2 linked regions of the Macaca mulatta genome follow. The protein of the gene in region 1 binds, or shares a complex with, the protein of each later gene. Links are inferred from orthologs where the notes say so. Each region holds a gene or a part of one and is shown on either strand. Other genes may lie near its edges. The genes, in order: DBF4 and CDC7.

Region 1 (6,938 bases):
CTCACCATAAATAACCCCGCCCCCATTCACTTCTTGAATGTCTACCCTTCCTCTGAAGGAATGTTTTCAAGCATATTTTCAAGATCTACTTTAAGACAAACCCCATCCTCTTACCAACAGACCTGACCACTGGACAATAAAAAGGAGGTTTGTATCATTACTGACTATAGCCACGTCCTTTCTGTGGCTACTAAAAGATTTAGGTTCCAGTAATATTTTTAAAAACTAACCTCGGATAATAGATTAGAAAATTACTAACTATCGAGTAAAGCAGACTTCCTGTTTATTTATTGCTCGGAATTACCACCTTCAGTGCAGTCAAGGGTGAGTCTAACAGCATAGGGTGCAACTATGTTACTGTCCTTCCTCTTCACAGTAAATAAGACACACAACTCATCTTTCACAAGAACATAAAATGGACTTCCTTTTTTGAAAAAATGTTCCTCAATAGAAGCATGCTTAAATCTTTCCCACATCCTCTAAACCTTCCAAAGATCAAGTCTTCCCTCCATTGTACTTTCCTAAAATAACAATTTTTTTGAAAGAGTACACTCAACCTGTCTGAACTTCAAGCTGATCATTTTTATCTAGTACTGTACTCATCTCCGCCACCCACTCAAATTACCCTTAAGGAAACCAATGATACCTGAAACGCCAAAATCAAACACGTATTTTTCAAGTCTTAATCTTACCTGTCCTGGGGATGAAGGAACTGGTGCAGCGCTCACTAGGATATAATTACAGAGCTCTTAAGGAGCTCTCCTCTGTGCCAGGTACTGTACTAAGCATTCAAAAATGTTCATTTAACCTTTACAACATCCCTGAGAAGTATTACCCCCTTTTAACAGATTAAAATTGGGGCTCAAAATTACCCAGAGGCCAAGTAGTGAAGCCCATATGATTCTAATGTTTGCAGTCTCTTCCCAATTCTGTGGCATTTCCTCCATATCTTTCAGTATTTCATCAACCACGCTTTTAATCAGTTCTCTCATTTCACATGCTCTCCTTGGCAATTTCATTTCCTCCCAGAGCTTTAATTACATTATATATTAGTGCTTCCCAACTTTTTAAATCTTTCTGTTAATATAGACATTTTGTGCTCTCTGTAGCTTGTATTTTGAAAATAAGTTCCCATAGAAATTACAATATTGAATATGTTTACTTAAACCACACTTCCTTCCACCACTCAAGATCTGTTAACCTTTAATGAACTGCCCCATGATTAAAATCAACAGACCGTGAGGTAGAAATATTTTATTGGAGAGATATCAAATCACTCTATTTCCTCTTCCCATGTCCACTTTTCCTAGACATTTCTCTCGAGTCATAAACATCTTCAACTGTCTAATAAGCATAGTTCCATGATTGTCGCCCCAGGGCCTTCAACATAAACCTGTCTAAAACCAAACTCTCATTTCCCTTAGCAAACGTGTTCTCTGAGTTCTCCAGCTAATATTGGCACAACCCACCCTTGTCTATTCTTTGAGGTACCTACCTGCAAAACTGTAACGCTGACACTCTGACTTCCTTGAGCTACCAGGTAAAAAAAACAACCATTACAGGAGTGCCTATTATGGCCTGGAGTAGAGGAACGCAAAATAGTTCAAAACATCCTCTTCCTCCCGAAGAAACAGATTTTTTTTTGGCGAGGCATGTTCCAACTTATAAAATTAAAATATATTCACAACATTTTAATTTGATCTTTAATCTGTTTTACAGAAAAAAAAATGTGATGTTACTTTCCACTCCTTCATTATTGAAATAAAGTTACACACAAGTAAACAAAAACAGTTCTGTATACAATAAAAGTCAACAGGGCAGCGCAAATAGCCAACTACCCAAGGACACAAAGTGACCTGGACGCGTTCTGGGGTGTCGCTGCCGTCACGACCGGGGGCCGCCTCCTCCCTCCGACGTCCCCCGGGACCGCTCTCTCTCCCGCAAGTCGCTCTGCGGCCTGTCCTCAGCCGGCGGGGTCGGCAGTGACCGCGGGAAAACCCCGCTGGCTGTGCGACCCAGGGCGCGCTGAGCAGGGGCTGCGGCTGCCGCCACCGCCCGGCTCCGGCCCCGGCCAGAGCTGAGTCCGGGATCGGCCGAAGCCCCTCGCCTTCAGCCTCCCAGACGTCCGACCAGTGGAAAATTAGCATACCTGGGGGAGAAAGCAGCTGGAAGGCCGGCGGTCCTGGCAAACCTAGAAGGCGGAAATAACCCTGGTGATGGGCGGGGCAGGGCTCCAGCGCTAACTGCATCCACTAGGTTTGGTCAACACAGAGCCGCGCCAACTCTCTGTGGCTGCGCCAAGACCTGAAGCGGCGGACTGAGAGCCGGGGTCAGAGGCTGAGAGGGCATCGGAATGGGAGCGGGGCAGAGGGGAACACATATCCTGCGGAGACCGAGCGAGGCGCCACAAGGACAGCGGCGTGAGGGGGCGGGGCGCGCGGCGCGAGAAGGCGGGCACGAGGGGCGAGCGCGAGGCGGGGCACGGCGCGCGGCGTGAGACGGGGCGGGGCGCGCGTATCGGCGCCGCGGCCGCGTGACGCGTTTTCAAATCTTCAACCGCCGCAACCCACTCGTTTGTGCTTTGCGCCTTCCTCCTCCGCGCTTTGGAGCCGGATCCGGCCCCGGAAACTCGACCCGCAGACGCGGTACCTCTGCTGCGTGGAGGCCGTAGCCGGCGGAAGGAGAGAGGCGGCCGTCCTGTCAACAGGCCTGGGGAAGCCGTGCTTTCGTGGCCGCCCAGCGCGACACTTTCTCCGGACCCAGCATGTAGGTACCGGGCGACTGCCATGAACTCCGGAGCCATGAGGATCCACAGTAAAGGGCATTTCCAGGGTAAGAAGCCCCTCCTCCGCCTGCAGTCCCTTTAATCCTTTCCTCCCCTCGTGGTTCCACCATTGATTCTTCAGACTTCTCCCGCCGGTTCCTCAGCTTTTTTTTTCTGACCGCCCTCCTCTGGGGTCTGAAGGAAGGGGCTCCTTCAGTGTTTTGTCTAAGAAGGAACGGATTCCGGCCCGGCCCCTCGAGCGCTCTGCCCTTTACAGCGGCGGACCCAGATTCATTCCCGGTCGTGCCTTCGGTTGAAAACTAGCAAACAATGTGCAGATCCGGGACCTCGCTGGGGCTGCCGTGCTCTCTTCTGCCCGGCTTCCGCAGATGCTGCGCCTCCGCCCGGGCCCTTGGAGGCGACGGACAGCATCCTCAGTTTAAAGTCAGACACGCTCGTCGCTTTTCGCTTCAGTATTAGATTGAGTGATTGTGGGTGGATTTTTGGTCTTAACCCTTGAAAGTTTATTTTCCCTTCCTCATAAGTTGGGGGAAAGCATTTGTATTTCAAACATCCCATTGCTGGTTTCAACATTACAAACAGGGAAACAAAAGCACATTTCCATTTTCAATCACTTTATTTGGTGAAACATTCCACCACCTAAGTTTTTGTACAGGTATTTGTATATGTGTAGTAATTACCAATTTAAGAACAGGTTGCGTTTGAAAAATTAATTTTTAAAGCAGTTGCTCGGATCTCAGATCTGTTTTTAATGAAAATAATGAAATGAAAGGTTTAGTTCTTCGTAATGGACCGTTAAATTCCTAATACAAAGACAAATTGTATGTGAAATGGACCATTTAGTTGTTAACATGCAGACAAACTTTATATGAAACTAAAACTTGAGCAGTCTGAAACCCTTGACTAGGTTATTCTGGGTAACAGGATTCTTTCATCGCTAAATGAAGTTTAAACACCAGTTTTGAATGTTCAGCAGAATGGCAGATGCTCAATAAGTAGTTGAGTATTAAATACCCCCATGGAGTTTACATCCTAAAGAAGAAAATCTTTCAAAAGAGTTTTATATAGTCCCGTGCCTCAGGAATAAATACAAGAATATTTCTTGCTGAGTCAACTATTATTTTACAATATGCGGTCTGTGAAAATATATAGAGCATTTTGCCTCTGTCCTAAGTAGTGCTACAAAGAAATACATTTCAGTGCTAATAAACTGGTAGGATTGTAAGGATTTTTATTTTGTAATATTGTATAATGAAATGTTTTAAAAATAGTACAAGTGTCTGTGTAAAACATCTGATTCTAAATATCTTTAATAGCAGGTGGAATCCAAGTCAAAAATGAAAAAAACAGACCATCTTTGAAATCTCTGAAAACTGATAACAGGCCAGAAAAATCCAAATACAAGCCACTTTTGGGAAAAGTATTTTACCTTGACTTACCTTCTGTCACCATATCTGAAAAACTGCAAAAGGACATTAAGGATCTGGGAGGGGTAAGTGAAAACCCTAAACTGGCATAGAAGGAAAAATTTGTAACTACTACTTTCTACTATGTAATCATTTAAATTTTTCATTTTAGAAAAGTTAAACCCTTCTGTTAGCACCAAGATTAACATTATTATCAGCTGTTTATCGTTAATGAAAAACCATTTGTTTTAACCTTTTGTGGACTGGCAAAACTTTCAGGTTTCTCCGATTAGCAGTCTAGTATAAAGTTCCCAGCGTATAAGACTCCCCTGTCCTAATGGAACTGCTTACTGTAATGTTGGAATGTCCTCCAGATGACAGCAGTTTCTTGATTATGAATCTTGGGGAGCTACGTAAGTTTGTATGGACTAGTGTAACAATTAAGAATGTTATTACAGAACACCCATGCAAACCACACAGTTAAAATTGTTCCTGAGCGATACAGATGCTGTTTCAACAGAATGAATGTTATTAAAGGAATAAAAATTTGCATTAAGAATCTGGAGATACTTTCCTACCTTGTACACTGATTAGATGATTGGGAAATTAGAAATCTCAGGCAAAGGCCGGGCACAGTAGCTCACGCCTGTAATCCCAGCACTTTGGGAGGCTGAGGCGGGCGGATCACAAGGTCAGGAGGTCGAGACCATCCTGGCTAACACGGTGAAACTCCATCTCTACTAAAAATACAAAAAAAAAAAATTAGCTGGGCGCGGTAGCAGGCGCGTATAGTCCCAGCTACTTCGGAGGCTGAGGCAGGAGAATGGTGTGAACCCAGGAGGCGGAGCTTGCAGTGAGCTAAGATCGCCCCACTGCACTCCAGCCGGGGCAACAGAGCGAGACTCTGTCTCAAAAAAAAAAAAAAAAGAAAACTCAGGCAAAATTCTAGGATCTTAATAGGATTAAGGTTAATATTGGATGAATTTTAGCAAATGAGGTGATAAAGGTTTTTTCTGTCTTAAAGGGTCATACTGGACTTTGACTTTCTGAAGGTCTGTGTCTTTGAGTGTCTAAACTGATCCTTTCATTCCCAGACTGGTAACTTTTCATTTTATTTTTATTTTGAGACGGAGTCTCGTTCTATATGGCCTGGGTTGGAGTGCAGTGGTGCGATCTCGGCTCACTGCAACCTCCGCCTCCCAGCTTCAAGTGATTCTTATGCCTCAGCCTCCACCTCCTGAGTAGCTACAATTACAGGCAGTGCCACCACTCCTGGGTAATTTTTGTATTTTTAGTGGAGTTAGGGTTTCACCATGTTGCCCAGGCTAGTCTCAAACTTCTGACCTCAGGTGATTTGCCCACCTCAGCCTTCTGAAGTGCTGGGATTTACAGGCATGAGCCCTCCAGGCCCTGCCAATTCCCAAACTAGAAACTTACCAGAAGAACATGTGCTAACAAGTTTCCTGGAACTGTTTGTTAATATGATATTTTATTTACCTATCTCTGAAAAGTTACTCTACTTTTTTACTATTCATTTTGTTAAACTAAAACACTGTGACATGCTTGTAATAGTAATATTTATCGTAATGATCATACGACAGCATTAAAGGTCATGTTTACTAGGCCAGCCACCCTATTGACTGTGTGTCTATTAAGCATATCTTAATGTGTTAAGGACCTTAGACATTGAGTAAAAAAAGACCCCTTCATCTTAGAAGCAAAGTACTTGAGGTCCAGAGAAAGTAAATGGCCCAGTTAGAGCAGTATTAGCTTCTTAATTCCAACAGCAACATAGTTCCTGCACCATTCTGTTCCTCTAGCAATCAGTGGCTACAAATGGCTATCTGGCTGTTAATTCACACCTGTAATCCTAGCACTTTGGGAGGCCGAGGCAGGTAGATCGCTTGAGGCCAGGAGTTCAAGACCAGCCTTTGCAACATGGCAAAACTCCATGTCTACTAAAAAATACAAAAATTAGCCAAGAATGGTGGCGCATACTTGTAGTCCCAGCTACTTGGGAGGCCAAGGCATGAGAATCGCTTGAACCTGGGAGGTGGAGGTTGCCGTGAGCCAAGATTGTGCCACTGCACCCCAGCCTGGGTGACAGAGTGAGACCCTCCAAAAAAAAAAAGTAGCTTAAAGTAGCTATCCGATGTGATTTGATGACAGCTTTCTCAAATACGATGAACAACCCATTAACTCTAGGTCTAATGGTCTAGATCAGTGATATTTAGATTTGCGTTTTTATCAGTAGAACCCTTTGAACAAAATAATATTCAGAAGTCTAACATGTAAAGCCTATAAAAAGGGAACTCCTTAGGCTAAAACAACAGTATTGAGGCTAAAGCAAGAACCACTTGCCCTGTCACCTTTCTTCTATCTCCACAGCAGTTCCTGAGGTAATTGCAAGAAATAAATTTTGAATTACTTCTGCCATACATAATAGTTGAGGGAGCTTTTGGTTTTACATACTTAGTCTTACCCTGAAATGATTGAAGTAGACCAGTGAAGTTAGGAGCATATTAAGGGTGTGAGTTTCCAAATTTTCCTTTGGATTTCCCAAAAATCCAAAGCTATGGATTTTCAACTGAATTTGATTTATTAACTTTCTTCTAAAAAAAAAAAGTTTTATTTATTGAATTCTGATCTTCCCATACTATCTTTTCTATAATTAATGATATTTAATTCTCGGGTCCTGGTTTCTTTCTTCAGCACATTTACTATTTCTGTCACTAAAAAAGATTTTC
Region 2 (6,373 bases), on another chromosome or scaffold:
AGACAGTGGAATAGGTTACAGATAAGAGAAGTAAAGGTGATCTCACTGCTAATCTCAGCTAAGTCATTTCTTTAGGTTACAAAGGGGAACACAGTTGTGTTTGCTGAAATTTTGAGGCTTTTATACTCAGTCCAAAGTTATAGTAAGATCTGACTGAAATAACTACAGATGTCATACTAATACAACTGAGACAAGTCCTATGGCATTATTTTTATTATTTGTTTTTTGAGACAGTCTTGCTCTGTCGCCAGGCTGGAGTGCAATGGTGCAATCTTGGCTCACTGCAACTGCCGTCTCCTGGCTTCAACTGCAGTTCTTCTGCCTCACAGCCTCCCGAGTAGCTGGGACTACAAGTGTGTGCTACCATGCCCAGCTAATTTTTGTGTTTTTAGTAGAGATGGGATTTCACCATATTACCCAGGATGGTCTCATCTCATGACCTCATGATCCGCCCACCTCAGCCTCTCGAAGTGCTGGGATTACAGGTGTGAGCCACCGTGCCTGGTCCTATTTTTTTTTCAAATATGAAAACAAGTATTACAATGATAAATCTCTAAAAGCTCTTGCTTGCTATCATGGCACTTGATCTGGAGTATTTTTGTGTCAGATGTTGTACTTCCATTGTTGGCCCTGATTATAACTTGGATTACCAATGGGGAGATTCAAGCTCTTCAATAAAATATTTTGGTGTTGGCTCATAAACTTCATGTTCATAAACCTCTCACCAAGTTATTCAATAGTAGATGAAAGTTTTCTCAGTTGAGAATAAACATACTTGTTATGTTTATTATTATGTAAGAATGCCATTTCTAAGATATCAATCTTGTTTTCCACTCATGGTCACTTTTCCCTTGTATGTATTATTTCATCCTATTATCTTCAAATAAAATTTTCTTACAGTAAGTACAAGATAGTTACAATTGTGGACCGACTTTGCTGTAGAAACATATTTTGGCAAGCCTCTATTAAGATGAGGCTTTCTTCACAACCACCAAGTTTTTCTTATAGATTGGACTATAGCACTAGTGCATAAGCTAGGGCAGTAATTTCTGCAGTGGTTCTTAAACACCTGTAGTTTCTTAGTCAAAATCACTTGTTTTTTCAAACTAACAAGGCTGGAGCCTTCCTAAGTATCTTATTTTTCTGAATCATATTTTCCAAGAATAGGTAGAGTGGGCAGGCATATGTATTTCTTAAAGATTCTCAGATAATTCTGACATGCAACCCCGGTTAAGACCCGCTGATCCTGGGGCTGAGCACAAGGCAGCCCAGCTACTCTTGAGGTAGGCTGGTTGAACCTTTATCTCCTGGGGTATTCTGTATTGTATGGTAGTAAGCTGACTCAATCCCACTTATTCCTTGGAAAGCATTAACTATAACTGAGCTTGGAAAATAAACATTAAACGGGCATTTGAGTTCAGACTGTTGGCCACAGCAAGGCTGAGATAATTCTCACGTGCCCTATGAAGTACACTGCACATCCCAGTCTTGAAGAACTTGCATGCTAAGGAGATGACATCCATGTCCAATATATGTTTACAATAATATCCCATCAGTTAAGGCCTTCTATGCATTCTGCTTCTCTGCTCCCATAAACCTACACAACCTGACAACACAAATTTCTATTCTCTTCCCTAATCCTTATTATACTATATTAATAATTGTTTACTTGTTAGTATAGCCTAAGATCATTTAAGGCAAGGACACTCTAAGTACCAAGACGTAGTACATCTGATGTTTAAAATACAATAAAAAAGTAAAACATATTATTAAAGGTAAATGTATGTAATAAAAGTCAAACCATAACTAAAAGGAGTTAAGATTTTACTCCTTATTCCTACAAAATTATACAGGTAAACTTTAAATACTGCAAAAGGTATTACTTGTGCTTAATAAGATTAAATGATTATATGTATAGAGGAGAGGTGATACGTTTATTTTCAAGCAATTGAAGAATTTTCTACTTAATATTAGAGAACTTTATCAAGACTCAATGTTTATTTGTAAAGAAAATTTCATAATAATTTATTAAGTGATTTGTAGGAGATAATCAAAGGCATTCTGTTTTGTTCTATAATACAAAACTGCTTACCAAAAGTTTTAGCAGCTTGGATAGTTTCTCTGGATCCCCGAATTGTCATAATTTGGGCCAAAGCAGTTAAATCATCACTTGCTTTATAAAATGGGTATCGTCCACTAAGCAAAGAAAGAAATATGACACCTGCAGACCACATGTCAATTGCTGCAATAGAAGACAAATTTTAAAAATAAATTTCAAGTCTATAATTTTATCATCTAAATCAATAGTCCTCAACATTTACTATGCATTAGAATCACCTTGGGAGCCTTAAAAAATTCAGATGCCCAGACCCAGAGATTTTGATTGAACAGTTCCAAAGTAGGGCTCAGGCATCAATGTTTTAAAAAAAGTTCCTCAGGTGATTTTAATGTACAACCAGGACTGAGAATCCTCACTGCAAAATATGTTTCTTTCTTAAGAAACATGTTGGTAAATTTAAAAGGATACTTAATCATTAGGAAACAATAACTAAATGAACATTTTATAGGATCAAAAGGAATCCAAAAACAGCTAAGAGGGAAAAAAATCTGAATGATCCTTGAGAATTACATACCATACTGGTCAAAATGCTTTCATTTTAGTGAAAAGTAATGAACATTAGAAGCTCTTCTTCAGCTGACACTACCACCAACTGCTGCTATAGAAACCTTTAAAAAAGTATTTTATTTTTATTTTTTTGTGGCTGTAAAGACTTTAATTTTTCTGAGTACACAGTAGGTATATATATTGATGAAGTATATAAGATGTTTTGATACACGCATGCCATGTGTAATAATCACATCCTGGAAAATAGGGTATCCATTCCCTCAAGCATTTATCCTTTGTGTTACAAACAATCCAATTAAATTCTTTTCTTTTTTTTTTTTGAGACAAGGTCTCGCTATGTGGCCCAGGCTAGAGTGCAGTGGCACAGTCTCAGCTCACAGCAACCTCTGCCTCCCAGATTCAAGCAATTCTCATGCTTCAGCCTCCTGAGTAGCTGGGATCACAGGCGTGTCACCATGCCCAGCTTTTTTTTTTTTTTTTTTTGTATTTTTAGTAGAGATGGGATTTTGCCACATTGGTCAGGTTGGTTTCAAGCTCCTGGGCTCAAGTGATCTGCCTGCCTCAGCCTCCCAAAGTACTCTTTTAGTTATTTTAAAATGTACAATTAAATTATTGACTATAGTCTCCCCGTTGTGCTATCAAATACTAGGTCTTATTCATTATTTTTTTTTCCGAGATGGGGTCTGGCTCTGTTGCCCAGGCTAGAGTGTGGTGGTGTGATCTCGGCTCACTGCAACCGCCGCCTCCCAGGCTCAAGTGATCCTCCCACCTCAGCCTCCTGAGTAGCTGGGTACACGGGTGCACACTACCACACCCAGCTACTTTTTTGTATTTTTGGTAGAAATAGGGTTCTACCATGTTGCCCAAGCTGGTCTCCAGCTCCTAAGCTCAAGCAATCCACCCGCCTTAGCCTCCCAAAATGCTGGATTATTCATTTATAACTATTTTTTGTACCCATTAGCAGTCCCCATGTCCCCCACACCCTCCCACTACCCTTCTCAGCCTCTGGTAACCATCTTTCCACTCTCTATGGGTTCAATTGTTTTGATTTTTAGATCCCACAAATAAGTGAGAACATGTAATGCTTGTTTTTCAGTGCCTGGCTTATTTCACTTGACATAATGATCTCCAGTTCCATCCATGTTGTTGCAAATGACAAGATCTTCTTTTTCATGGCTGAACAGTACTCCATTGTGTGTAAGTACCACATTTTCTTTATCCATTCATCTGTTGATGGACACTTAGGTCGCTTCCAAATTTTGACTATTATGAATAGTGCTTCAACAAACATGGGAGTGCAGATACCTCTTTGGTACACTGATTTTCTTTCTTTTGGGTATATACCTAGCAGTGGGATTGTTGGATCATGTAGTAGCTCTATTTTTAGTTTTTTGAGGAACGTCCAAATTGTTTTCCATAGTGGTTGTACTAATTTACATTCCCACTATAGAAACTTTAATCTTCTTAATTCTGGCTGTTAAAGATTACGACCAGCTCAACTTGATGTTAAAAAGCTTTTTTTTTTTTTTTTTTGGAGACGGAGTCTCGCTCTGTCGCCCAGGCTGGAGCGCAGTGACCGGATCTCGGCTCACTGCAAGCTCCACCTCCCAGGTTCACGCCATTCTCCTGCCTCAGCCTCCGGAGTAGCTGGGACTACAGGCGCCCGCCACCGTGCCCGGCTAGTTTTTTTGTATTTTTTTAGTAGAGACGGGGTTTCACCGTGTTAGCCAGGATGGTCTCGATCTCCTGACCTCGTGATCCGCCCGTTTTTTTTTTTTTTTTAAAGGGATATCTCTCCTAATTGTTGACCTCCTAGTATCACCAGGTTATTTGCTCTGTTCCTTCGGCTACTGTATCACTTTTTTTTTTTTTTGAGAGGGAGTCTCTGTTGCTCAGGCTGGAGTCCAATGGCACAATCTCGGCTCACTGTAACCTCTGTCTCCTGGGTTCAATTCTCCTGCCTCAGCCTCCGCAGTAGCTGGAACTACAGGCACGCACCACCATGCCCAGCTAATTTTTTGTACTTTTTAGTAGAGACGGGGTTTCACCATATTGGCCAGGCTGGTCTCAAACTCCTGACCTAGTGATCTGCCTGCCTTGGCCTCCCAAAGTGCTGGTATTACAGGCGTGGTGAGCCACTGTGCCCAGCCCTACATGCCTTTCTTAGCTCCTTTGGTACCTCTGCCTGCTCCTTCAATGTTTTCTCCAAGCCTTAAGTGCTGACTAATGTTCCTCAGAGTTTTAACTTCTCCCTCTGTATACTCTCCCTGATTGGTCCATCCACTTCATGGTTTCAACTGTCATTTATATAATGATGACATTCAACTGCATTTCTAGCCCAGCTCCTTCGCTGAGCATCAGACTTAACTTTGATTCTGTTGGATATCTCTATTTGGATGTCCCACAAATACCTCAAACCAATTATACCCAAAACCAACCTTACTTTCCCCTATAAACCAGTTACTTCTCCTTTACTCTCCACCTTGGTTACTGGTACACATCCAAGTCTCCCAAGCTAGGACTCTGGTAAATATCCTGAATGCCCTTTTCCCTCACCACACCACACCCAAATACTACATCCAATTATCCACCAAGCTCTGCCTTTTCCAACCCTTCACTTTTCTTTTTATTCCTATTACTAATACCCTCATTCACATTTTCATCCTCTCAACTGGAAAAATTCATGCCACCACTCTCCAAAAGCTAAACTGTTTGAACGCCTGCCAGAATGATCCATCTAGAATATACCATTGCCACTTCTTTTGCTTGATTATATGTACAGTATATAGTCCAAACTGTAACAACTGTGGTCTGACCTTGTCTACCTCATTCCAGGTTTATTTCTCACCATTCCTCAACTTGCATCTTAATATTCTAGCAACATTAGACTTTTTTCTTTTTTTCCGAGATGAAGTCTTGCCCTGTCGCCCAGGTTGGAGTGCAATGGTGTGATCTCAGCTCACTGCAACTTCCGCCTCCTGGGTTCAAGTGATTCTCTTGCCTCGGCCTCCCGAGTAGCTGGGATTACAGGTGCACACCACCACACCCAGCTGATTTTTGTATTTTTAGTAGAGATGGGGTTTCACCATGTTGGCCAGGCTGGTTTCAAACTCCTGACCTCAGGTGATCCGCCCATCTCAGCCTCCGAAAGTGCTGGGATTGCCGGTGTGAGCCACTGCGCCCAGCCAAAATGAAACTTTTTTAGTTTTCTGTATGCTGTTTCTTGAGTTCCTTGGCTCATGCCTCTATGCTAACCTCCCAGCCCAATTTACATTCTAAGAGGTCACTTCTTTCATGAATTGCCTTTCATAATCTTTTTGGGTTAGGATAGTTAGATACTCCTTAAATACCTTGTATAAGTTTTACTACCATACTCAACAGGTTATTTTATAATTATTTGATAGTGTGTCCTGATTAGAGTGTGAACAGATGGTCTTATTTATTTATTTACTTTATCATTAGCAAGCAAGAACAGACATTCAATGAATGAACGCATTTCTTCAAAGCCCATAATCCAAGTGAACAGCAGGATCCATCTATTCATTCAAGATGTTTCCTGAATTCCAGCTCCATGGTAACTTTTTAGATTATGGAAGACGTTTTTCTTTTTCAAAACCTTCTAACTGCTATTATATTGTTTATATAACAAAAATAATTTTAATCAAACACAATTATATCTACATCACAGGAAACTTTTGAGGTATTAAGCAAGCAAATAAAATGCTTTAAGTCTTTGGTTGGCAAAAA

The links.
Region 2: the proteins of DBF4 (region 1) and CDC7 are in contact, whole or in part, in a crystal structure (PDB 6YA8), measured with the Homo sapiens proteins. The link is inferred for Macaca mulatta from reciprocal best matches to the Homo sapiens genes DBF4 and CDC7. Residues at the interface, in NP_006707.1 of Homo sapiens: Thr210, Arg211, Thr212, Gly213, Arg214, Leu215, Lys217, Pro218, Phe219, Val220, Lys221, Val222, Glu223, Asp224, Met225, Ser226, Gln227, Leu228, Tyr229, Arg230, Pro231, Phe232, Tyr233, Leu234, Leu236, Met239, Pro240, Ile242, Asn243, Tyr244; in NP_001127891.1 of Homo sapiens: Asn56, Val57, Phe58, Ala77, Gln78, Leu79, Gln80, Ile87, Ile93, Pro94, Thr95, Ser96, His97, Pro98, Ile99, Arg100, Ile101, Ala102, Leu105, Gln106, Thr109, Lys121, Tyr122, Cys123, Phe124, Arg125, Asn127, Asp128, Val130, Leu143.

The regions. Positions count from the first base shown.
Region 1 is NC_133408.1:131,509,096-131,516,033, reverse strand, and holds the start of DBF4 (protein DBF4 homolog A), read left to right. Parts: upstream 1-2,546; 5' UTR 2,547-2,786; coding exon 2,787-2,832; intron 2,833-4,101; coding exon 4,102-4,277; intron 4,278-6,938. UniProt on the Homo sapiens protein: Regulatory subunit for CDC7 which activates its kinase activity thereby playing a central role in DNA replication and cell proliferation. Required for progression of S phase.
Region 2 is NC_133406.1:148,790,263-148,796,635, forward strand, and holds part of CDC7 (cell division cycle 7-related protein kinase), read right to left. Parts: intron 2,243-6,373; coding exon 2,093-2,242; intron 1-2,092. UniProt on the Homo sapiens protein: Kinase involved in initiation of DNA replication. Phosphorylates critical substrates that regulate the G1/S phase transition and initiation of DNA replication, such as MCM proteins and CLASPIN.